Rhinolophus ferrumequinum: one gene and its partners. The protein of the gene in region 1 interacts with the protein of each later gene in a pairwise test. Links are inferred from orthologs where the notes say so. Each region holds a gene or a part of one and is shown in the gene's direction. Other genes may lie near its edges.

The links.
Region 2: the proteins of keratin-associated protein 26-1 (region 1) and GDPD5 interact in a two-hybrid assay, tested with the Homo sapiens proteins (2 studies listed by BioGRID and IntAct). The two-hybrid records come from large-scale screens. The link is inferred for Rhinolophus ferrumequinum from reciprocal best matches to the Homo sapiens genes KRTAP26-1 and GDPD5.
Region 3: the proteins of keratin-associated protein 26-1 (region 1) and CCNJL interact in binary tests that used the Homo sapiens proteins (3 or more experiments, as listed by UniProt). The two-hybrid records come from large-scale screens. The link is inferred for Rhinolophus ferrumequinum from reciprocal best matches to the Homo sapiens genes KRTAP26-1 and CCNJL.

What each region holds. Positions count from the first base shown.
Region 1 is NC_046285.1:96,858,108-96,865,025, reverse strand, and holds keratin-associated protein 26-1, read left to right. Parts: upstream 1-5,483; coding exon 5,484-6,056; downstream 6,057-6,918. UniProt on the Homo sapiens protein: In the hair cortex, hair keratin intermediate filaments are embedded in an interfilamentous matrix, consisting of hair keratin-associated proteins (KRTAP), which are essential for the formation of a rigid and resistant hair shaft through their extensive disulfide bond cross-linking with abundant cysteine residues of hair keratins.
Region 2 is NC_046294.1:50,206,119-50,214,201, reverse strand, and holds the start of GDPD5 (glycerophosphodiester phosphodiesterase domain-containing protein 5), read left to right. Parts: upstream 1-4,751; 5' UTR 4,752-5,557; intron 5,558-6,127; exon of another isoform or gene 6,128-6,302; intron 6,303-8,083. UniProt on the Homo sapiens protein: Glycerophosphodiester phosphodiesterase that promotes neurite formation and drives spinal motor neuron differentiation.
Region 3 is NC_046307.1:29,651,185-29,659,391, reverse strand, and holds the start of CCNJL (cyclin-J-like protein), read left to right. Parts: upstream 1-4,875; 5' UTR 4,876-4,969; coding exon 4,970-5,196; intron 5,197-5,565; coding exon 5,566-5,680; intron 5,681-8,207.

The sequences.
Region 1 (6,918 bases):
TCTAAAATTAAGTATACTGAGTGAAAGAAGAAAGAAAAAACGAGTATATATGGTATAATTTTATTTTATTTAATAAAATTTTAGGACATGAAAACTAATGCAAAATGGTAGAAAGATCGGTGGTTGCCTGGGGACTAGAGTAGAGGGGGGTGAGGTAGAAAGGGATGGAAAGAAAGGACTACACAGAGCTATGAGGAGATTTGAGGGGTAATGAATGTAATTGTCATCTTAATTTTTGGTATATACAAATGTCAAAACTCATCAGATTTTACTCTTTAAATACGTTCAGTTGAGTTTATTGTTTGTCAATTAGACCTCAATAAAACTGATAAAATATATAGGCAAAGAGAGGAAATTGAAAAAGACCTTGTAAAGGTGAAACAGACACAATTTGAGGGCTTAACTATAAATAATAGACGAGATACCGCCACCTCCACTGTCTATTATATAGGCAAGAAAGGATATGTTAATTAATACAAAACAGTTTCCTCACATCATCCATAGAAAGTTCTTGTGTATAAATGAAATGGGAATGAGGGGAGCAAAGTTTATTCAAATCTTGCACAAACCATATGTAGAAACATGTATAAAAATGTTATAATAGAGTAAAATTTTAGTTGAAAGTATATTACAGCCTGGCGGCCTTACCAGTTACTTCAAGCTCTACATTGCTGATCAGGTCAGGGAATTATTTAATTCTTCCAATGAATTATAATGATTTTACTCATAACATCCAACAGGGTGTGCTAAATTTAGGATGCGTCACTATGTTGAAGATTGCAATGGACTGACTCCAGATAATTGGCTGTCTTCTTTAAGACGAGCTAAGATAAATATTAATAAAGGATATTAGAATGGGCAGGAGAAAAATTTGACAAGGGGTTTTCAGTCCCTCTGAACCTCTTTCTATCTTTGTGTTCTTTTATATTTCATGAAAGTTGACTTTACCTGGTCAAAATGGATAGATGGTGGAAAAAGTATATAAAAGAGATTACTGACTTGGCTAAGTAAAGGTCAGTTTTTGTTTGATAAAGAAAACCTGTTATATTTTGTGAAAGCTATGATGTTAGTCAGCAAATATTTATTAAGAATCAACGAGGTTACCTCACATGTATTGAGAATAATGATCAGACCTATCGGAATAGGGATGTTATGAAGATTAAATCAGTTAATACGTATAAAACATGTAGTACTATGTTTGGTATATAATAAGGACTCAGTAAATAGTTGGTAATAAAGGTTTTATAATATAGTCAGGAAATAAGACACATACAGAAAGAATGTTTTGTTTGTAATGCAAAGGTGTGTGTGTGTGTGTGTTTGTGTGTGTTTGTGTGTGTGTGTGAATTAATAGTAATTATACAGATTTAAGTCTGGAAATATCTACGTTGGTAGAGGGTATTTATAAAGAAAGGGCTAATTAAGCTAAAGCCTACAAGATGGAAAAATTAAAGAATTGTTCCAGTTTTATATCCCACATATCAGTCAGATCATATGGTTCTCAACTTTTTCTGTCTAACTTATTTTACTTAGCATAACAATCTCAAGATCCATCTACATTGTCCCAAATTGCACTATTTCATGAACAAGACAATCAAAGAAACAAAAACTCATAGACAAAGACAATAGTTTAGTGGTTACCAGAGGGTAAGGTGGAAGAGGGGTGGCAGATGAGGGTAAAGGGGGTCAAATATATGGTGATGGAAGGAGCACTGACTCTGGGTGATGGACACACAATGTGATATATAGATGATGTATTACAGAATTGTACACTTGAAACCTGTGTAACTTTACTAACCATTGTCACTCCAATAAACTTTAATTTAAAAAAAAAAAAAAGAATTATTCCAAAGGAGACAAGGGTAAGATGAATGAAGAGATGTGAAATGAGCTAATTGGAGACATGAACAGAGAACCCAGCAAGACTGAAGATAATTTCTATTGGGAAGCAGAGGAGGATGAATCAAGTGTTTGGACAACTTTCTGTGGACAAAGGAGAGTCATCAGCATTTTTGAGTAAGAGAGCCATCTGATGAAATGAATTTTAGGAGCATTAACCTACATACGGTGTTTAGCCCACAGAGATGACAATAGCAATAGGTGTCAAGATGGCAGTGAGAAAGGCACGTGTTTACCAAAGGGGAACAGAACCCTACCTGAGTGATGGCGGTGAGAACAGAGCGGGGAAAAATGGATGACAAGACATATTAGTGGATCAAGTAAGAAAAGCATTACAAATAGATTTTCACTCCTTCCCATCTGTTGCAAGTTAATCACAGCACTCTCTTCTTGAAATCAGTTACTGGATCACCATGCTTAGAGAACAAAATCTTAACTACTGCCTTGATGATTGAATTAGATTCACCAGGTAAACCTAAGTTTCATTATTACAACTTACCTCTAAGAACATTTCACTAAAAGCACCGTGTAGTCATTTTTCCTGCCTTTACACGTTCTACCATAGTCTGAAGTGTCTTTCCTTTCCCCAACCCCCTGCTGTTTCCTACTAGCCTTCAAAATTAATACCAAATACCAATGTTTAGGCAAACCAATAAGCAATGTTTGCCATTCTCTGTACACCATTTATAGAATTTAGTGAACACTGACATGGATGGTGTATCTGTTTTAGCACATCTACAGAATTGGATGCATCTGGAAAAACACATTGATAGTGTCTTGGTATCATTGTCAGAATCTATCATAATGTTTTGCATAAATAAGGTTCTCAATAAATATTTGTTGACTGAATGAATGCAAGGTATGTCATTTATTGGCAAACTTTTATTGTTGCAATGCTCTGAGGATTCCTTGTGTCCAAGAGAGGAAGAAATTCAGGATTTTTCCTCTAGATTAGGAGAGGTAAGGATCCCTAGTTAACTGAAGTAAAAGCAACAAAGTGGATAAATCTGGAAGAGCCCACAGGATGCCCAGGTCCTCAGTCTATCTTTAGGCTCTTACATCAGAAGCAGAGCCTGGGACCTGTAGTTTATAGGAGACTGGTAATGAGGTACCTGCTGTGCTGCCCACGTGAGCTCTTCTTCCCCTTTAGTGATACAGTCACTATCGAAAGCATCAGTTCAACATTTGTTATATTAAGGGCACTGCATTTTCTAAAATTCTGTGGATATTTTTGCAGTGTTATCTACCCACAGTAGGAAAAAATAACTCTCATGGTGGTGCTGTAAAGGAATTAAACTGAGGTGGTACTCCTTGGAATGGGTGAAGGATGCCAAAGCGAGAAAATAAATTATGTAGGTACAGTATCTCACAGTTTACATTTAAGTTTTCCTTCCATCTAGATTTATTTTTTAAATGACACCACAAAGTAGTTATTAATACTCCCATGGTTCCATAAAATGATACTGATAGTGACTGGGGAATCAGAGCGATTGTGCAAATTGCTCTACTAGATGATGGTATCACTGTATGTCCATATGATGTCATACTGGATAATGGGAGAAAAACAACCTTTAGAGGGTGAAGGACCACCAAACAAAACCCCCTTTGTTTAAATGGTTTTTATTCATATCAATTATCGTAACTTTCTACATCTCAAGTTTTCTCATACAAATACTTGAAATAGTAAAATTTACTATAAAGAATGGTGCGAATAAAGTGATATTACAGATGTGGGTACCTACACTGCAAGGTGTTGCCCAGAGTAGACAATAAATGAATGCTAGTTTTATTCCACACCCATTCTCTTCATGCAGAAAAACCCATTTGTTTATGCATACAACATAAACACTACATACACACAAATATATTGATGTACTAAAGATGCAGGTGTTGGGCTCTTGATTATATTAGAGAAGAACGGGCATAAAGAGCATCAACACATAAATTTGGTAAGCATTCGGTTAAATATGGCTGCACCTATTACTGACACCATTCAGCGGCTGCATCCAGGATTTCACAAGATGCTAGCAATGTGTACAAAGGTACCAAGTGATGAAAACTGGAGGGATTGAGGGGATTCTTCAAGTGCTTGAGGTACAAATCATCACAGGGTAGTGTTCTCTGACTTAAAATACTGAGATAATCTCAATGTGTTAGTACAGGACCTATATAATTTTCATTTTCCTATTTCTGGTAGGAAAATAGTCCTATATTGGCTCATAGAGAAACCAACCTTGCATTTCAGAGATTCTACTCCTCCTGTACAGAGGGAGACCCAATAGGTGTGGGTGTATCCACTAAACATCAAAATATAACAAAGTGTTGTGACTTACATTGGATTTTAAAGGAAATTGGAAATTAGATAATAAAATTAGAAATTAGATAAACAGATAATGAAAATTCCCATTAATATAGTCACTGGAGCTGCTACATATGTTGGTATATGAACAAGGCAATGGAATGGTTGAGGCTAAACACAATCATGAATTTTTTAATCCAATTTTTACCAGAAAATATATACCCGAATAGCCGTCAAAGTGTTCATACTTAGACAAACTCTACATTTATTCTGATGTTATTACCCATGTAAAGCAGTTTAGAAGCTTCTCTCTGGAAACTGATATCAGGACCAATGTAAAAAACAAAACCAAATCCAAGTCCGTCTCTTAATCATTATGTCTCTCTCTCTCTTTTTTTTTTTTTTAATGAAAAACATTAGTTTTCAGTTGGGACACAAGTAACATGAATACATAATCCTATAATAGGTATAAAAAATGTAATTTTGTTCAATTGTCTTTAAGGGATTCTGTTGATTTGCTTTTGTTTACCATAGGATCCATAGATTTACCTGACCCCAGCTTGTTTATCTATACGTATTATGACAACTTTAAACATAAACCAGCTTTCAGCTTGACTCTTTATTTATTTATTGAGACGAATAAGAGGAGCATGACTTCTTTTAAATAAAGATATTTTGGTGGGAAGTCACTTTCTATCAGAATTCTAAAATAAAACAAAACACATCTGGACACATTGACATTTCCCATATTATACTACTTTCAAACTCTTTCTGCTCTAACCCACATTAGATATAGGATTTTTCACATTCTTTTACACATACTTCCTTTTAAGCTTCTTACTAGGATTCCTTCTCAAAGAGAAATAATTTGCCAGTGTTTCAAAGAAGTTTGCTACAACTTTTAAAGACATTTCCAAGAGAATAATTCTATGAATATTTATGCAGTGGGGCTTATAACAGGAATAAGTAAATGACCTCCAAAAGTGGCAATTTGGTTGGATAATTTGAGAGGGTGAGATCCTATTAAAATTCAGTCACACTGTGTTATTTACTTAATCAATGGAAGGCCTTGCAAGTAACCGCATTTTATAGGAGTTGAGAGCATCCACTTCCGGGTCATAATGAAGAGTTCTGATGCAGCCTCATGCAACTAGGAGGAAGAGAGTCTGTATACAGAAGCACCGTCTTCTGCAGATATATAAGGGATCAAGTCAGATGAGGAGCACAAAGAAACTTGAGACACATTTCTTTCCAATCAACCACAGCCTGCCCACAAAACCTCACTATGACTTGCCCCAACTCCTGCTCTGGAAACTACAACTTGGGATCCCTCAGAAATCCCTGTTATATTCCTCTCTCCTCTTCCAATGCCCTCTGCTCTACAAATGTGAGCCGTGAAGATGTCCTCTGCTTTCCCAGCAGGTATCAAGATGGTATCTGGCTCATGGACAATTGCCAAGAGACCTGCAGTGAACCAACCAGCTGCCAGTCACAAAACTGTGAGCCCAGCAACTGTGAAACTTCCTGCTGCTCTTCCACTGCTTACTATGGGCCCAGACCCTGCCAAGGAACGCGTTTTCTTCCTGCTGCTTCTTTCACCTCCAGCTCCTGCCTCCCAATATCCTGTCGACCTCTGAGCTCTATGTCCAACAGCTGTGGACCCCTGAGCCTCCTTACTTATGGATGCCGCCCCTTGGGGTGGATGCCCTGTGGTGCTCAGCCACTTAGTGTTGTGTCCAGCAGCCTCAGACCTCTGCATCCTCTCTTCAGTGGATGCCAACCTCTGACCCATGTGTTCAGCCCCTGTCGTCCATCTTGCTTTGCACTAGGAGGCCAGGAGCTTCCTTGTTCCAGCTAGCAATCGTGCTGAGGATCAAGGACAAAAATTCAATCTTTGGGGACTTCTGCTTCTTTCCTAGTAGTGAGTGACCGCCTTTTCATCTTTTCAGTGTGCCTGATCTAAGGCAAGCTGCCCCTTTCACGTTTTTCTCTCCCTTTTTTTTTCATTTTTCCTTGATGTGAAATTATTTGGTTTACGATGCTATTCATTGTCACTCAGGTGTGGGAAGAATTTATTTGGTTTGTGTTGTAATAAATGAGATTAAGCCAGAATTAAAAATCTGGGTCTTCAGTTTGTCTTTTATTATTCCATTTTAACACAGAAATGACCAACCTCAACTGCTTGCAAGATAAGTGAATAGGACATGGGCTACTGGACCACATATTCTTATCTGACAGTAGGGGAATAACTTTGATGGTTTATTCCTCAAGCTGCTTTCTAGATCTGTGATCCTATGTATTTGAGAGATCCAAAAGACCTTGGTTGAAGTTATTTTGAAAAGGCAAGATTAGGAATGCTGTCTTTATCTTTCTTCCAGTGAACAGCTACCAAAACGGCCTAATTGTCAATGGAGCTATATTTTACTCCTGCTTAAACCTTTGGTGGCTTCCTGTGAGCTACTTCCAGAAAATAAAAATATAAAGTCCTTACAATGACATCTGGTTTTCCTCGTTGTTTTTCTCCCTCCCACCTCTCTGGCTTCATCCCTTTCTCAATATTGCAAATGCTAAGCTTTTGCAATCCTGCCTTACACATAGGTCACAAACATGCTGCTTTTTATAAGCATCCACCTTTTGCCTATGTCATCATCAAGACCGGAATGCACTTCTGATTTATCTATTTTGAAAAATCACACTCACTTTTAAAAACACAGTCCAAC
Region 2 (8,083 bases), on another chromosome or scaffold:
TCTCATCCCAAAGGCTGTCTCAGGCTGTGGCTGACTTTGTCACCCCTCCATCCTCCCACCCCCGTCCATTCCCCACTCAACAGACACTCGTATCTAGTCCCGTCCTTTCAGGCCAGCTGGGGCGTGGACGCTTGCCCTGCCAAGTGCCCTGGACCCCCTCGGGGACTCTCCTTGATCTCCTTTGGCAATAAATCGGGCCATAAAGTTTTCCTGGCTGTGCTGGGGTGGGTCCCACTATACATGATTGATGCCACACGGCCATGGGGAGCACCACAGGTCAGGGAGGGAAACAGGCAGGCCGGGTGCCAACAGGAAGCCCTCTGGGTGTTCAGGGAGGGGAGGAGTGTGGCTGGATATGAGCCAAGGCCCCTCCTCCTCCCTTTCATCCCTCACTCCCCTTCTTAGCGCTCTGGTACCCTCCCAATACAGTCCAATTCAAAACTCCACCCAACAGAGCCTCAGCCTGCCCCTCCTGCTCCAACTTAATTATCAGACACACCGTGGGGCTGACCGTATACCAACACTACCGTAGGCTTTCATAGAGATACGCTCCTTTAATTCTTATAGCTTATGAAGTAAGTACTAGTATTGTCCCAACTTTACAGGTGAGGAGACTGAGGCACAGAGCAATGAGTTAGTAATGGCAGAGCCAGGAGGTGAACCCGAGCCATATGGGTCCAGTCTGTGCCCTAACTGCTCCATTGTGTGACTTCAGTTTCTTCCTTCCTGTGTCATTCCTGTTCCCCCAAACATACCGACTTCTCACCTATCACTTGCCTGTTCCCACTTTCATGCTTTTGTGCTCAATGTTCCCTCTGCCTAGAAGACTGTTCTCTCCTTATCCCGACAAATTGTGCTTATTCTTAGAGAGCCAGTCAAGTGTCCCCTTCCCTGGGAAGCCACCCTGGACCCCGCTCTGCCCACCCCCTGCTGTCTTCTGTGTTCACATGGCGCTCTGCACACTCCACGGCAGAAAGCCTTGGCACTTGGGGCTCCTTAATTGTCCCACCCCCAGATGCCCAAAGTTTGGTCCAGGACATTGAATCATTGGTAAATGCAGGATGACCTGAGGGCACAAAGAGACACGAGACTCCATACCCTGCCCTCTACAAGCTTATATTCTGGTGGGACAACTGACCCACAAGCAACCTGTGATCCAAGGGGATCAGTGTCCCCAGGGAAGCACAAAGAGCCTGCAGTGTCACTGGCTCCGATGGATGGAGAATGCTTCCCACCGGGCAGTCAGGCTGGCTTCCCACCGTGGTCAACTTGTGTACTAGCCCTTGAAGGATGAAGAAAAGTCCAGTGGCCGAGTGGGGCCCATGCAGGCAGGAGAGCTGGGGAAAGGATTCCAGGCTGGCAGACGCAGACAGGTAGGAAAGCAGGCCATACTGTGAGGGCCATGATTTCAGCTGAGCTGCCGACCCCAGCAGACGGTGAGCTGCAGGAGGGCAGGGCGCGCGTCTGCTTGATGCTCCATGGTATCCTTGCCAGCACCCAGCGCAGTGCCCGCATCGTGGGTGCATGGTAAGGATTTGTTGGAAGTAGATCTCACGGGGTGTGAGGTCTTATATAATTTGGTGGCTCTGTTAAGGAAGAGGATACCAAATTCCTAATATAAATGTAGGCACAAAAGCGAATGTTCAGTTGTGATGAGCATAGCAAGCTGTGCAACAGACCTGAAGCTGCAGTCGCTTCACAGTTAATCCCCACTCTGGTCAGAAGAATATAAGGGGGGGGGTCAGGGGGGGCACCGGGCTGACAAGGCTAGCCTTTTCTATCTGCCCCAGAGGCCCAGCTTTAGAGCCGCCTCTGAGCCCTCAGTCACCCTCCCAGACAAGCCACCATGACCATGCCTCTGTCACACTGCTTCGTGGGCCTCTCAGCCGCAAAAAGGCCGGATTCTCCCAGGTCAGGAGACTTCCTCCCCCTGGGAAGGTAGCCAGAGGGCAAATGTGGGCGGCTGAGAACTGTTTGCCCGTCACCTCCAGGGGACCCTGGGCCTCAGGGGTCATGGAGGGTCTGTTCTGAAAGCCTCCTTTTCATTCTGGCCTTCTGCTCATCTGACCTGCTCAGGAGGCTCTCGCAGCAGGGGCAGCAGAGAACCGCTTTCTGAGAGCCTCATTCATCTCTCAGTGCTGAGGTCTGACAAGGGACTGCTGCCACTCTGCTGGGGGAGTGGGTGGGGGTGCACTGACGCGGAGGGGCTCCCTGCCCATGGGGCCAACTAGACATGAAAGACGTAATTACAGAGTCTTCAAGCTGAGAGATTCCACACCAAAGGCAGACTTCCTGGGGAAGTGCAGGAAGGTTTCTCAAAGGAAGAGACACTTGATTTGAGAGACGGAGCTATTCATTCAACAATTAATTACTGAGCACATACTATGTATTAGGCTCCAAGGACATAGCAGTGAAGAGGACAGATGGGCATTTGCCCCAAAGTTTCTTCCCTTCAGTCCAGAGCGAACCAGGAATTGACTCAGGAGAGAAAGGGAACACAGTCCCTCAGACAAAGGGAACAGCAGGAACAACAACATAGAAGAGACTGCATCCTGCCTGTGGATGGCACAGAAAGACGTCTGGTGCCAGGGGAGAGGGAAGCAACTGGGAGACGAAGCTCGTTGGGTTGGCAGAGAGCAATAATGGAGGGGCTGCAACCCCAGGCCAGACACTTAGGATTTGATCCTGCTGGCAACTGGGAGGCACAGAAGGTTCTAAACAGAGAAATCATAAGGTTTCGTAGCACCATTACCAAGCTCAACTTATAGGCAAAATAGCCTTCTACCAGCCCTGAGGCCGCAGGCACCAGTGGGAGCTTCCTGGGGCCAACCTCCCCACCCCCCACCCCTGGGCTTGGCTAGGAGAGGGCACCCCTCCAGCCTGGACTTCAGCCTCCAGCTCAGCCCCTTCCTTATTCTTCCAACCAACTTGAAGGCTGTTGCACTCTTAAGAGGGGATAGGACAGAGCCCTGGGTCCAGGCATCACTGAGGATTCCAACCCTTCCTCATGCAGGCCCCACGCCATTTGCCTATTGCGGGCTTTAAGTGTTATCACACTACCTGGTTTCCCTACAAAGCTCTGTCTTTCCCATCGCAATACCTGACTTAAAAACTTCCCAGGACACCCCCTCTGGCAGCCAATGAGTTGGCCTTCAAGACTGAGTCCTCCCCATATCCCTGCTGGGTTCAGGGTCATGAGCAGGCCGCTAACAGAGTTGCTGGCCCTTAGAATAGTCTGAACTCCCTTTTGTTTGCCTCCACTTGCCTCTTCACACTTTTCTCTTCCCATCAGTTCTGCTGTTCCTTCTCTGGGAGCTCCAGCCACCCTGAACTCCTCTGGGTTCTCCAACGAAGTAATGCTCTCCCTCACCTCCAGGGTTTTCTCCAGACTAGCCTTTGCCCAGACCACTGTCCATTCACTTAGGTTCTCTCCTAACCTAGCCAACCCCTACTTCCGAGCCTGCCTGTCACTCCCTCAAGGAAGCCTCTTCCAATCTCCCCAAAATAGGCTAGGGGTCCCCAGAGGCGTTCTTTCAGATTCCATGCCTTTGCATGTGCTGTTTCCTCTGCCAGGAATAAGCCTTCCCTCCGTTCTCTGAAGCCTGGTGCCTGCCCAGCCCCTGATAAGTAGCAGTATTTCTATTGCCCTTACAGATGAGGAACCAGAGGCTCAGAGAGGTCCAGTAACCTGTTCAAAGCCACACAGCTTTGCTCCAGAATGCGGTAATGATGAGCGGATAGACTCTCGTGCCAGCTTTATGGTCTTAGGAACATCGCTTTGCCTCTCAAGTGCTTTGATGTCCCCAGCAGTTGAATGGGGGTATCTACTGCATAAGGTTGGTGTGAGGCTTACAGAAAAGCTGTATTGGGTGGCCTCCATCCCTTTGCTCCCCAGGCCATTTAGTGGCTTTCACATGGCCCCAGAAGCACATTCAACATTCACTCTTTCATACATCAAAACCCTCCATGCCTGCTCTGTGCCTCGCCCTGTACAGGGTGCTGGAGCCTCGGGAGATGTAAATCAGACACAGCTCCAGCCCTAAGGCTGGAGGGGAGGGGCAGCAGAGGGCATAAAGGTCACTCACGCACCTCTGCTCTTGACTTCATATTTTTAAAACTGATAACGACTCTCCTCCCCGCAGAAAAATGTTTTAAGAAAGATCTGCTCTTTATTTTCAAAAACTTAATTTTTCACCGCTTCCTGAAATCTGAATATTTCGCAGCATGCAAAGCTCACCTCCTCGCATTGAGCCCTAGAAGTTGGGGAGGTAGACGACTACTGTGAGAGCTGTGTCCCGAGGGCTCCACTCTCCCTGTTGATTCCACTACCCTGGATAACCCAGCTCGCCTCTATCCAGCTTCTCTCCCTCCCCCGACCCCAGTACCTATCCCATGACTCCCCCTCTCCCACACAAGGCAGTCCCCGGGCTCAGGTCCCAGACAATCCGGTCCTCTTCACCTCTCCTTCCATCCGGGTCCCCACGTTACCCTCCCTCCAGCTCCTCTCTTTAAAGTCCCCCACCCCCCTGCGTGGTCCCCGCTCCAGCCGCACCTCTCCACTATCGGCTCCGCCCTCACGAGGTAGAGTCCACTTTCCGCAGAGCTCCGTTCTTTTCCCACTCTCTCCCCCATTGGCTCCTGCTGGGCCGAGGAAAGGATTCGTGGTCCGGGAAAGGGGCGGGGTTTCGGGCTGACTCCGCCCAGTTCGGGCGGGGCGGCGCCGGCTTGCGCTCAGGCGCTGGGCGGCGCTGCCTCAGCTCTGCTCGGCTGGGGCCGCAGCTCCTGCGGGGGTGGGCGACCGCGTTGACAGCGGCGGGGGTGGCGGCAGCTGCGGCGCGAGGCTGAGCGAGCGGCGTGCGAGCCGGGGGAAGAGGAGGAAGTGGAGCTGCGGTGCGGAGCTCCAGAGTCGGCTGCCGCACGGAGGTCCCCCCGATTTTTCAGAGCGAGCCGAGTCTGGACCTGGGAAGACTTCCCCGCCCGGCGCTGGCGGCCGCTGCTCCTCGCAGGCGTCCTGACCTACCCCGCCTGCCCCGGCCCTGGATTCCGCGCTGGGACGCTCTCAGCCCTGCAGTCCGGCGTGTCGTGGCCGGGCCCCCCGTAGCCCCCGACCCTGATCCAGTGCACCTGGGCGAGACGCTCCTGGCCCACCCTACGGGTCCATGGCTGCGGGCTTCTTCACAGCCTTTCTATAGTGTGTGTCGGAGTCCCCAGCTCTCCGCCCGGGCTTAACGCAGGGTGTCCCCAAGCCCCCGACTGAGTGCAAAGGAGCCCGGACGCCCCCAGCCTCTGTCTCCCCTAGACCAGGACTTTTAGCTGCTTCCGACCCGGTGCTGCTTCGGACTTGGGACGTTGTGAGCTACCGGGAAGCCCCGGCCCGGGTTCAGCGCCCCGTGAGGGGTCCCAGGCGGGCTGGACAGTCGGACGGAGCCGGACCCGGCTGGTGCTGAGAGTCGAAGCTACTACCACTTGCCTTCCTAGGCGAAGGGCTTGGCGCTTGCCCCGAAGAGGACCCAGGGGCCCCTCTGCCCCGGCGGCCGGCGGGAGCCGAGAGCTGCAGGTGAGAGAGCCCCGGATGCCGGGGCTAGGAGGGGCCTCTGACCCCATCCGGGCAGCGCCCGGGCCGGCGGCGGGGGTATGCCAGGCACTAGCTGAGGCTGGAACTGGCTAGGAGGGGGCGCGGGAAAGGGAGGCGGGAAGGGAGAAAACGGGCACTTATCGAGCGCCCATTGTGTGCGGGTCCGCGCCCCACCCTTGCCTGAGTGGTCCCTTCATTAAGGCTCACTAAGAACTCGGTGGGATAGAAGGTGTCCTGTATATTTATGGGCTCTTACAGATGGGGAAACTGAGGCTCAACGGGGTTGAGTGACCCTGCTCTTTTCACTCTGGGGATGAGACTGTGAGGAGGGTGTGAGTGGAGAGGGAAAGAAGCAGAAATTGAAGAGTAAAAGAAAGGAAGTGGATAGCCTCTAGGCAGGAGGTGGGGGAAGGTGTAAAGATGGGGCCCCTGGGGCATCCTAGAACTGATCCTGAGGCTGGAAGGAGGTGGCTTCTCCGGGTCTCCTCCCCCCCAACTCCATGGCCATGTCACATCCCAGGAAAGGTGACCCAGAGTTGAGGGCAGAGGTGGGAAGCTTCCTACTTCCACAGTTCCCCTCCTGTGGGCCCAGGACCAGTGAACAGCGGCCCCTGGCCCTTGCCTGCCATACTCCAGGGTCTCTACGGCCCTCTGGAGGTCCTAAGACGCTGTTTATCTGTTGGGGAACCTCGCTGTAGAAGTCCCCAAGTTGGACGAGATGGACGAGGTGAGTCCCCTCAGCGCTCATCCAGCTCACATTTTTTCACGTTACTAAGGGTGGGGTGGGTATCGGGGTGCCAATTGTCCAAGGTCCTAAAGCAGTGAGTGAGGGGTTGAGCCACAGGTACACTTGAAAAGACATCCTTCAAGGTATCCATTCCACCTCTTCAGTTAGCAACTTCTGGGTGGGTGGCTGAGGTTTTCCCCAGCCCTGATGTGAGGTCAGGGTGACTACGTATGAGGCTGTTGTGAGAGTCTGTGTGGTTGGTGCTGGGGCCCAAGACATGCCAGCAACCCCATAGCCTTTGGCCCAGACTAAAGGTCTGACCTTAGCCTCTCCTGGCAGAGGAACCTGCAAGACGCTGCTGGCCTAGGAGGGGAGGGCTTGCTTTGGGTATCAATGCTGGGGCTGCCAGGGCCGGGGGTGGGGGTGTACAGTCCCAGGTGTCTGGATTCCCAGGCAGGGGCTCCTTTTGCTACCCCCCCTGGGGCAGTGCAGGGAGAGGGGTGTTGTGAAAGAGGGCTTGGCCTGGACTCTGTAGGCTCTTGTTCTGGATTGGAAGGGGGAGGAGACATGGCCCAGGTCTGAGCTCTGTGGCCTTGGCTGGGACTAGTTAACCCCTGCTGTGCCCAGCTTCCTGGAGTCTAGGGGAAACCACCTTGGAAAGCACCTGGGAGGTGGAGGACGCTGGAGAGGTCAGCTGAAGGCTGGAAACTCAGTCCTTGTGGGTGGAGAGGTCGAGGAACCTCAAGAGAAGGTGACTGAGGGGCTTGGGATTCCCCCTCCCCATGTAATCCATGGGGATTCAAATTCTCCTAATAATTCCTGCCTCTAAACAAAGCTCTTCTTTGATGAGATAATTTCACACCTGTGATCTCATTTCATGGTGTGATGGAAGGAACCTGGAGTGTGGCATAACATTATTGGGGAGCCACTTGGGACCTCTCAGATGCATTCATGGCTCCCAGCCTCACCTGTAAAATGGGGTCAAGGCAGGCTGTGGGCTGTGTGTTATCTGTTTAGATAATGGGGCCATCGTATCGAGCACACTGTCAAGTGCTAAAGAGTTTTTGTGTTTGCCAAGACTGGGCTTGTTATTCATGACTACCTTGTGTGGGAAACTGAGGCTCAGAGAAGTGAAACCGCTTACCCAGGGCCTTTGAGTTTGCTTCAGGAACTGAGCGCCACCGGCATACCAGGTGCCCTGGAAGTTACCCAGATGGAGAAGGCAGTGTGGTGACTAGCTCACAATTAATTGGGTGGGCTAAGTGGCACGGGCAGATAGTAGTGAGACAGACCAGGTGGGCAGAAATCCGCTCTGCCTCCCACTGGCCATGTGACATTGGCCAAATCACTCATCAGAGCCCCAGCTTCTTGTCTATACATTAGAATTCCTCCTTTATGAGGTTGTTGTGAAGATGAAGTGGGATATAAATATACAGTGCTTGGCCAAATATCTATTTCTTTCCCTATAAGGAAAAGAAACTTAAATTTTTACCAGAAAATATGGGAAAATTCTCAGACTTGCCTTAGAATGCAGGCTACTGTTGCCGGCGCACAGACCTAGGCTTGCTCAGATGGGACTCCTGTGTGTCAGGCTCCCCTGTGCCACTTTCCTGGTCTCATAGCCCTCTAGAATCTGCTCGGGGACCCTGGTAAAGAATCTGGATTGTGACCTCCCACCCCAGGGCCAGGGTTGGGGGGCACTGGTGTTCATTCCCTCTGGCTCATTGTCTGATCTCCCTTAGGCACAAAGGTGCAGTGAATAATTTATGGGTCCCCTCATT
Region 3 (8,207 bases), on another chromosome or scaffold:
ACGGGGTTGGCTTGGTTTTTGGTTAAAGAGCAGAATGGTAAACAAGGCTGCTCATGTCTCCATGTTTACAGCCCAGATGTCTTCCTTCTGTCCCTGTAAACAGAGGCAGCCTTCATGCTTTGGGTCCTAAATGGGGCAATGCAAATCATTAAGACCCTAAGGAAACACTACTCAAAGCATATGCCTCAACTTCCCCTGAAAAACTGAGTGCTCGAAGAATCTGGATCACTGACCTCCCCTGCCAGCCAGGATATTCACTGCAGTGTGGTTATGGCAGCAAAAAGCCTGGAAACAAATGGCCAGGAAAACAATACTGGTTCCCCACATCATGATGGATCCATACTTGGGTCTACGGGATAACAGCAGCTCTCTGGGCACTGCCATGAAACAACCATTCACGTAAAAGGGGGAAAAGACACGAATGCCTGTGTTGGTAAATGCAGAGGTCACTTCTGCAAGGAAATACAAGTGCTGGTTATCCCGGGGGAGGAGAGCAAGGCCTGGGACCGAGGGTGAGAACGTGTACATTTCACCGCATATATTTGTCATGTGAGCGCTTGTATCATATGAAGAAAAGAGAGAAAGGAGAGTTAAAGTGAGCAGTTGAAAATATTAGATTGATTTGTCCTCTGAGGAAGATTGGAAAGGTCAGGAAAATTTTTTTTCTCTCATTTTACACTTGAAAATATTGTACCTATGTAGGATGGTCTTGCTTTAAATTTTTGGTTTCCATCCTGTGAGTTTCAGACATTGAGGGTGGAAGAGTGGTAATTAACTCATAGCAAGCACTTGATAAAGGTTTAGTTTTTGACTGAATGAATGAACAAATGAACAAATGAATACTTCCTGGTTTGGTTGGGGATGGAGTGGGAGAATTAACTCCAGTCACATCGTTCCCCTGCTGTCCACCAGACGAAACCTGCCCTGCTAAGGACACCATTTCTACCTGTGGACAGAGACTCACCACCAAAAACATCAGCACAATGTATTTTTATTCTTCAGAGATACTGGGAAAAGGAGAGACTCCTGAGAATGACACACAAAGGACAGCAGATGACGAATGATGTTTAGAATCCTTTGAAAATAGCCCCTAGTAAAAAGCCCCAAGTTTCTGCCTCCCTTTCTCACCTACCAGAACTCCTGATAACTGAGAACTAAAGTTTAGGAAAAGAGGACTCCAAATCAATGAATAGGAAAGGCCTTTCTTCTTTTAGTGTACCCTGTATAGAAAGATTATTGAGGAAAAAAAACAATATAGCAATGGAAAAAACAAAAACAACAATACTGCGAGTTGTGTGATTCAAAGGAATCTAGTTAAGTATATCATGTGATTATTTTAAAGTAACATTCACTGTTTTTTTTCTGATTATGAAAGTAATACATGTTTCTTGCAGAAAAATTAGAAAATACAGATATACTAGAATATAAAGTAAAATAACATTTCCTTCAATCCTACCATTCTGATTACACAGTTAATAGTTTTATGTATATTCTTCAGTTTTGTGTGTGTGTGTGTGTGTGTGTGTGTGTGTGTGTGAATGTAGTATAATTGGAATCATACTCTAATCTCCTTTTTCATTTAATATATTGTGAAGATTTTTCCAAGTCATTATTCATTCTCTCAAAAAATGTTTTTTAAGAGTCAAATTATTATTTAACCAGTCCCTGTTCTAATAGTTCACTATAATAAAAAAGCAGTATGATGAAACCTCCTGTAAATAAATCTTTGTACTCATCTGCTCAATTTTTTAGAATAAATTTTCAGAAATGGAATAGTTGGAGCAAATGATACATTTTTCAATTTTCTGCATATTGCTTTTCAGAAAGATGCTATTTATATTCCCAGCAACACTGTATATTTGTCAGCACTGCATATGATGTTTATAGAAATCCTTAACAAATATGTACCCCACTCTTTCTAAAAAAAATTAATGTCTTTGCTAGTGAATATGAACATTTAAAAATATTTATCTCTTTGAATTTTTTCTTTCATGGTGTGCCTGTTCATCCATTTCTGCATTTTGGTTGTTAGTGTTTTATGTATTGATTTATAAGAGGTCTATATAGTTGACCAATCTTTGTCACATTTGTTAAAAACATGTTCTTCAATTTGTCATTTGCCTTTTTGCTGATATTTGATATGTCTAAGTCTTGCATATTTATTCAAATATATATATTCATCTTTGCCTTTTGTTTCTTTGTATGTCTTAATAACTGGTCCTTCTCCTTTGAAATAATTCACTTATATTTTCTTTTTTTTTAATTAAAAAAATTCTTTTATTGGGGAACAGTGTGTTTTTCCAGGACCCATCAGCTCCCGGTCAAGTCGTTGTTTTCAATCTTGTTGTGGAGGGCACAGCTCACTGGCCTGTGTGGGAATCGAACTGGCGACCTTGGTGTTATGAGCACTGCGCTCCAACCGCTGAGCCAACCTGCCGACCCTCACCTATATTTTCTTTTAACTGTCTTTTAATTTTTTGTTTGTTTAGTTCTTTGAGTTTGATAAAGTTAATTCATATACAGTAGTCCCCCTTATCCACCGAGGATGCGTTCTAAGACCCCCAGTGGATGCCTGACACCACGAATAGTAGCAAACCCTATATATACTATGTTTTCTCCTATACATACATACCTGTGATAAAGTTTAACTTATAAATTAGGCACAGTGAGAGATTAACAACAATAGCTAACAATAAAACAGAATAATTATAACATATTGTAATAAGTTATGTGAATGTGATCTCTCTCAAAATAGCTTATTATACTGTACATACAAGATGGCTACACTGGACAAAGGGATGATTCCCATCCCGGGAGGGATGGAGCAGGATGGCGTGAGACAGCGTAAGATTTCATCACATTACTCAGACCAGCGTACAATTAAAACTTATGAATTATTTCTGGAATTTTTTATTTAATAGTTTTAGATTGCCTGTTACTGAAACTGTGAAAAGTGAAACAGCGGATAAAGGGGAACTACTGTACTGGGATCCACAAAATGGAGGCAGCTCCAGGGGCCCCACCCCAGTCACAAATCTAAACTTACCGTGCTTACCCGAAAATAAGACCTAACCAGAAAATAAGCCCTAACATGATTTTTCAGGATGACATCCCCTGAACATAAGCCCTAATGCGTCTTTTGGAGCAAACATTAATATAAAGACCCGGTCTTATTTTCGGGGAAACACAGTAAGTCAGCCTGCACTTACGGAAAACACCTGTCATGGAGACCTAACATACACCAATCACAGTCCTCCACTTCACCTTTAGCTAGCTTTCTTTACCCTAGAAAATAGGACCTGCTAGCCTTATAAGGAAATCCCAATCTCGTAGGCAATCATGCCCTGTTTCTGTGTTGCCTCTTAATATTCCATAAAACTTGCTCTTACCCAAAATCCCTCAGGGAGAGTGCTCCACTGCTTGTAAGGCACTGTTCTCCCTAATACATGGGCTGTCTTCCCTTGAATAAAGGACAGTAACGTCATTACTAAATTGTTTGAGTTTTGACATTTGACAACTTGTTATATTTATTTTAGTGATGGTTTAAATAGATGGTTTTTATGTTTTCCCCCCAAATTAATTTCCCCAGCCTTATTGAAGAATTTATCCTTTTCCTCACAAAAGTGAAAAGATAAATGTATCATATGGTTAATTTTTAAGTATGTTGTATGTGTTTCTAAGTTTTCAACTATTCCACTGATGCACAGTCAGTGCATCAACACCACTTTTTTAATGATAGCTTTGTAATATGTTTTAAGATTTGGTAACATAGGTCTACCCGTCCATTAAAAAAAAATCTTAGCTTTTCTTACTCTTCCATTTGAGTGTTAGAACAAGTTATGTCATTTCTCCCTCACTCCCAGCTACCTACAAAAATTAGATTTTAATTAAAAGAGTTAATTTGGGTGAAGTTGGTATTTTCACCTTCTATTTCTTCAAGCCTTTCTTGTTTTAACCTCTATAATTTCTTAAGAGCACTTTTTAGTAAGTTTATTCCTAGGTACACTTTTACAAGAGTTCATAATTTTGTCATTATTATTAAAACTGCTCTTTAAGCTCCAATTGAAGTTTATCAAAGCTGACTTTAAAATTTTTTCCAGGTGGGTATTAGCTTGCAGGAAACCAGTCAGAAACTAAAGGCTCTTTAGTAGCAGCTATTTATTGAGTGTAGTTGGCATGGCGATTATCCCTTTACACGAATTATCTTATTTAGCGATAGATATCTCCAACAGGTTGGTGCAATTTTTATTCCCATTTTACACATGAGGGTTCCCAGGCTGAGAGAGTCTGAGGAACTTGGCAAATACCACCCAGTTGGTAGGTGGATTTGAAACAGGTCTGTGAATCTCCAAAAGTATCACAAAAAACAATCAGCCGATGCTGTGCCATCAGATGAGCTGATTCAAGGGAGAACCTTTCCGAAAACAATCAACTGAATTAAACAGACAATGCTTTCCACCCGCAAGTCCCTCCCAAAAGATTAGTTTTCCTCCAATGTACGGCATAGATCTGTACTTTGCAGGAGAACAATAAATACCACTTGATTTACTGAGCGTCCTTGAGAATTAGGGATTCCTGGACAATCAAGAGTGGCTTTTCTGGAGCTTTCGTGGGAATTGCCCGTATCTGCCTCCCCATCGCAGAACAGGTTCAAAAAAACCCAAACAAAAACAAAACAGGTGGAACCTACGTAACGCTGACAAGAGCAGCGCACGCAGGAGACAGAACTTTCTGGCGCATCCTGCCCGCGCGTTTCACGCGTGGTGCGCGCAGGTGGCGCCGCGGTCCCTGCGCTCCCCGCGTAAGCCCGTGGGGTGCCCAGGAGGCCACCCCGAGTCTCTGCCAAGGTGAGGGGAAGCTTTCCACCAAGGCGGGGGAGGAGGGCGGGCAGGAAACAGAGCCAGCGCAGGCGAAAGAAAGACTCCAATTCCCAGCCCCCCGCCCCGCGGGGTACGGGAGCTGGCAGCGCATGCGCGAGGCCCGGCCCCCAATTCCCTTAGCGAGGGAGGGAGGCCCCCGGCGGCCCAGAGACTGCGAGCCGCTGCGGGACCCGAGCGCACGCAGGGGCGCGGCGGCGCCGGGACGAGCGGGGCTGCGGAGGCGGCCGTCGAGAGCGTGGAGCGCCGGGCGCGAGGCCGCCGGCTCAGCTCTGGGAGGGGCTTGGCGCCCGCAGCCCCCCACGCCGGAGAGGGATGCGTGAGTTTCGCCCCGGCCCCGGGGCAGGATGTGGGAGCAGGACAAAGGCTGGGCGGCGGGGGAGGAGTTGGGGACGGCGAGCCGGTGGCCGCTGCCGGAGCCCCAGCCTCGGGCGGGCTAGCGGAGTCGGCAACTTTCTCTGCAACTTTTGCAAAAGGGAAGACAATTCTGCAAGTGATTGCACAGCTCCAGGTCGCCCCAGGTCCCACGAACAGAGGGGAGGGGACAGCGCAGCCTTCCCGGGATGGGCGGCGACCCCCAGCTCTGCTGAGGTGGTCAGGAGGGGGGCTCCCGGCCGGGGCGAATAGGAATGCCGGAGGTTACAGCCCGGGTGCCCTGCGTCCGCTGAGGTAGCTCGTGTCCACGCAGGGTGCGCCCTGAGAGCCCGGTAGCCTCGGATCGTGGCGCTGCATACGCGACGATGGATGAGCCGTGGTGGGAAGGGCGCGTCGCTTCGGACGTCCACTGCACCCTGCGCGAGAAGGTCAGTCCCTCCCCGCCCATGTCGCTCGCACGACTGGGTATTTAAAGCCCCTTTTGCTCTCGACTCGGTTTGCTCAGGTCACCCCGCGGGCGCACTAGGAGCTCCCGGTGCCTTTCTTTCCTCCTCCCTGAGCCCCTTCCCGGAGAGTCCGGGTGAGAAACGAGATTGTAGAGCTTAAGTTGGTTTTTCTGATTAGGAACCCAGAGTTTCCGACCAGCTAAACCGGGAGAGCCGCTGTACTCTTGAAGGCGGTATTCCCCACAGTATTTTCACCCAAGATCATTTTAAATGGTACATGAATGGACTTAAAAAATACTTTAATGTGCAAGTTAAAAACGTATGTAGCAGGTTCCCCATAGGGTAAGTGATGCTGATTTTCCGTTTATTGTAACGATGTAGTAGTTCCTTTTAAAATAAAGTAAAAGTAGTGACTCAATATTAGGAAATATTAAGTAAATGACAGTATAAGGTATAATAACATAGTTCTGCTCTCCCAATATCTCTCGGATGGGACTGAATAAAATGTAAGAAACACTAATCTAAATGAGAGGCTATAAATCTAGGAGGAGGTGAAGAGAAAACAAACACTCCCTGCCAGTTTGCCTCCGGTGGCAGAAGGTGGGGGCAGCTGAAATGTGATCCCTGCACTCCCTTCGCCTCAAAGAGAGAAGTGCTGATGGGCATTGAGAAGGTGGAAAAGGCCAGGTGGGCTGGAGGCATGGCCTGTGTGTCTTGCCTCCTGCTCCTGGGATGAGATGGGGAGGGGTGGTTTGGGGAACAGGTGTGAAATAGAGTGTATTAGATCCCTAGGGCTGCCATGAGAAAGTTCCACAAATGGGGGCACTTAAAACAATAGAAATGTGTTCTCTCCCAGTTCTGGAGGCCAGAAATCTGAAAACAAGGTTTCAGCCAGGCCATTCTAATCCTCAGCGTTCCTTGGCTTGTAGACTTCACTGCAATGTCTGACTGTTGTCACATGGCATTCTAGCTGTATGTGTGTGTGTCTGTTTTCTCTCCTTATAAGGACACCAGTCATTGGAATAGGGTCTACTTTAATCTCATATGACCTTATCTTAATTTAACGAATTACTGTACATCTGAAAAGACCCGATTTCCAGATATGTCCATTTGACACAATCTAGGTTCCAGGTAGACATGAATTTGGGAGGACGCTATTCAACCCAGTACAGGGAGAGTGAGGTTTTTTTAGTGGGGTAGCTAAAAAACAGGTCCCACAGCCAGTGCATTTGTACCCAATATCTATGGAATTCTGTTTAAAAAGTCGATAGCTATACAAAGTTTTTTCCTCATTTGGAAGTAGCTGTCTTCCAGTCACAATTAAGTTTTTTTTTCTCTTTTTTCCTGTACCTACTAGTCCATCTCTGTCTTGTGTTGCTTGTCCAGGCTGTAACTTTCCTTTGCTTCCCTGGGTCTTCTCCCTGGAGCAGAATGGCCAAGGTGCAGCACATTCTGGCCATCTGGAGAAGAAATCCAGGTCTTAGTGTTTGAGTAAAGTGGGATGGTAGACCAGGCAGTTCAGGCCTGGTCCTTTTCTGGAGGTGGGGGCTAAATGAATTAGTGAGGGCTGCCATGGAAATTGGGCTTCCTTGTTTATCATGGGCTCCAGTGGTTGTCAGTTCTGCTCATAGTGTGGGAGGAACGACTTTGACCTCATTTGCCCCTTTCTAGCAGGAAGGATTTCTGAGAACAGTGTAAATTCAACCAGCTCCGTTCCCTGAGAATCCCCAATCTCTTATAAATAAGTGAGCGTGTTCTAATCTCTCCTCTAGCCACTCAAGGAACAGGGCAAGCAGGTCCCCATTAATTGTCTTCACCCATGTCATAGAGCCAGATTGTTCACTACAAGGCTGCCTACCTTGAGGGAGAATGGGTTTATCCAGGTTTTACAGGTTAGAAGTAGAAAACTCACTCGGGTGAATGCTCCGGCTTACCTGTGACTTGAAGCTGGACTTATAGGGTAAATCCTGGGTTATTTTGGTTATAATGTCTCACCTCCCCAGCATATTAACTATCTTTCTTCTTTGTTTCTTCTCTCTGTTCAAAGAAGATGCTTCTCAAGAAAATTTGACTTAATGGAGAGTTTGCAGAGAAAAGTGAAGACTAGCGAGAACCCAGTATCCGCACTGTTCTCATCTTTCTTAAGGAATGAGGGCTGGCCCTTTATTTTTCCCAGACAAGTAATTTTTTTTTTTTTATTAAACATCTCTAATAATATATTCCTAACACTGTAGAACACTTTACAAGTGTCTGGCACACAGTAGATACTATGTGGTGAATGTTGCCAGATGAATAGAAAGCAAGTTACTATATATATGCTGTTGAATTGTCACATAACCACGGGCAGTTATCCTTACTTGACTGATAATGCAAGAAGCCGGGCTGGGGTCCTGGAGATAGTGGGAACCCCACTTTGTCAGATGTGATATTCCAGTATAACATGATACTACAGTATGTAAAATGGGACACCATGGAAATGAACCTTGGTATTAAATGCAAACTAGTAATG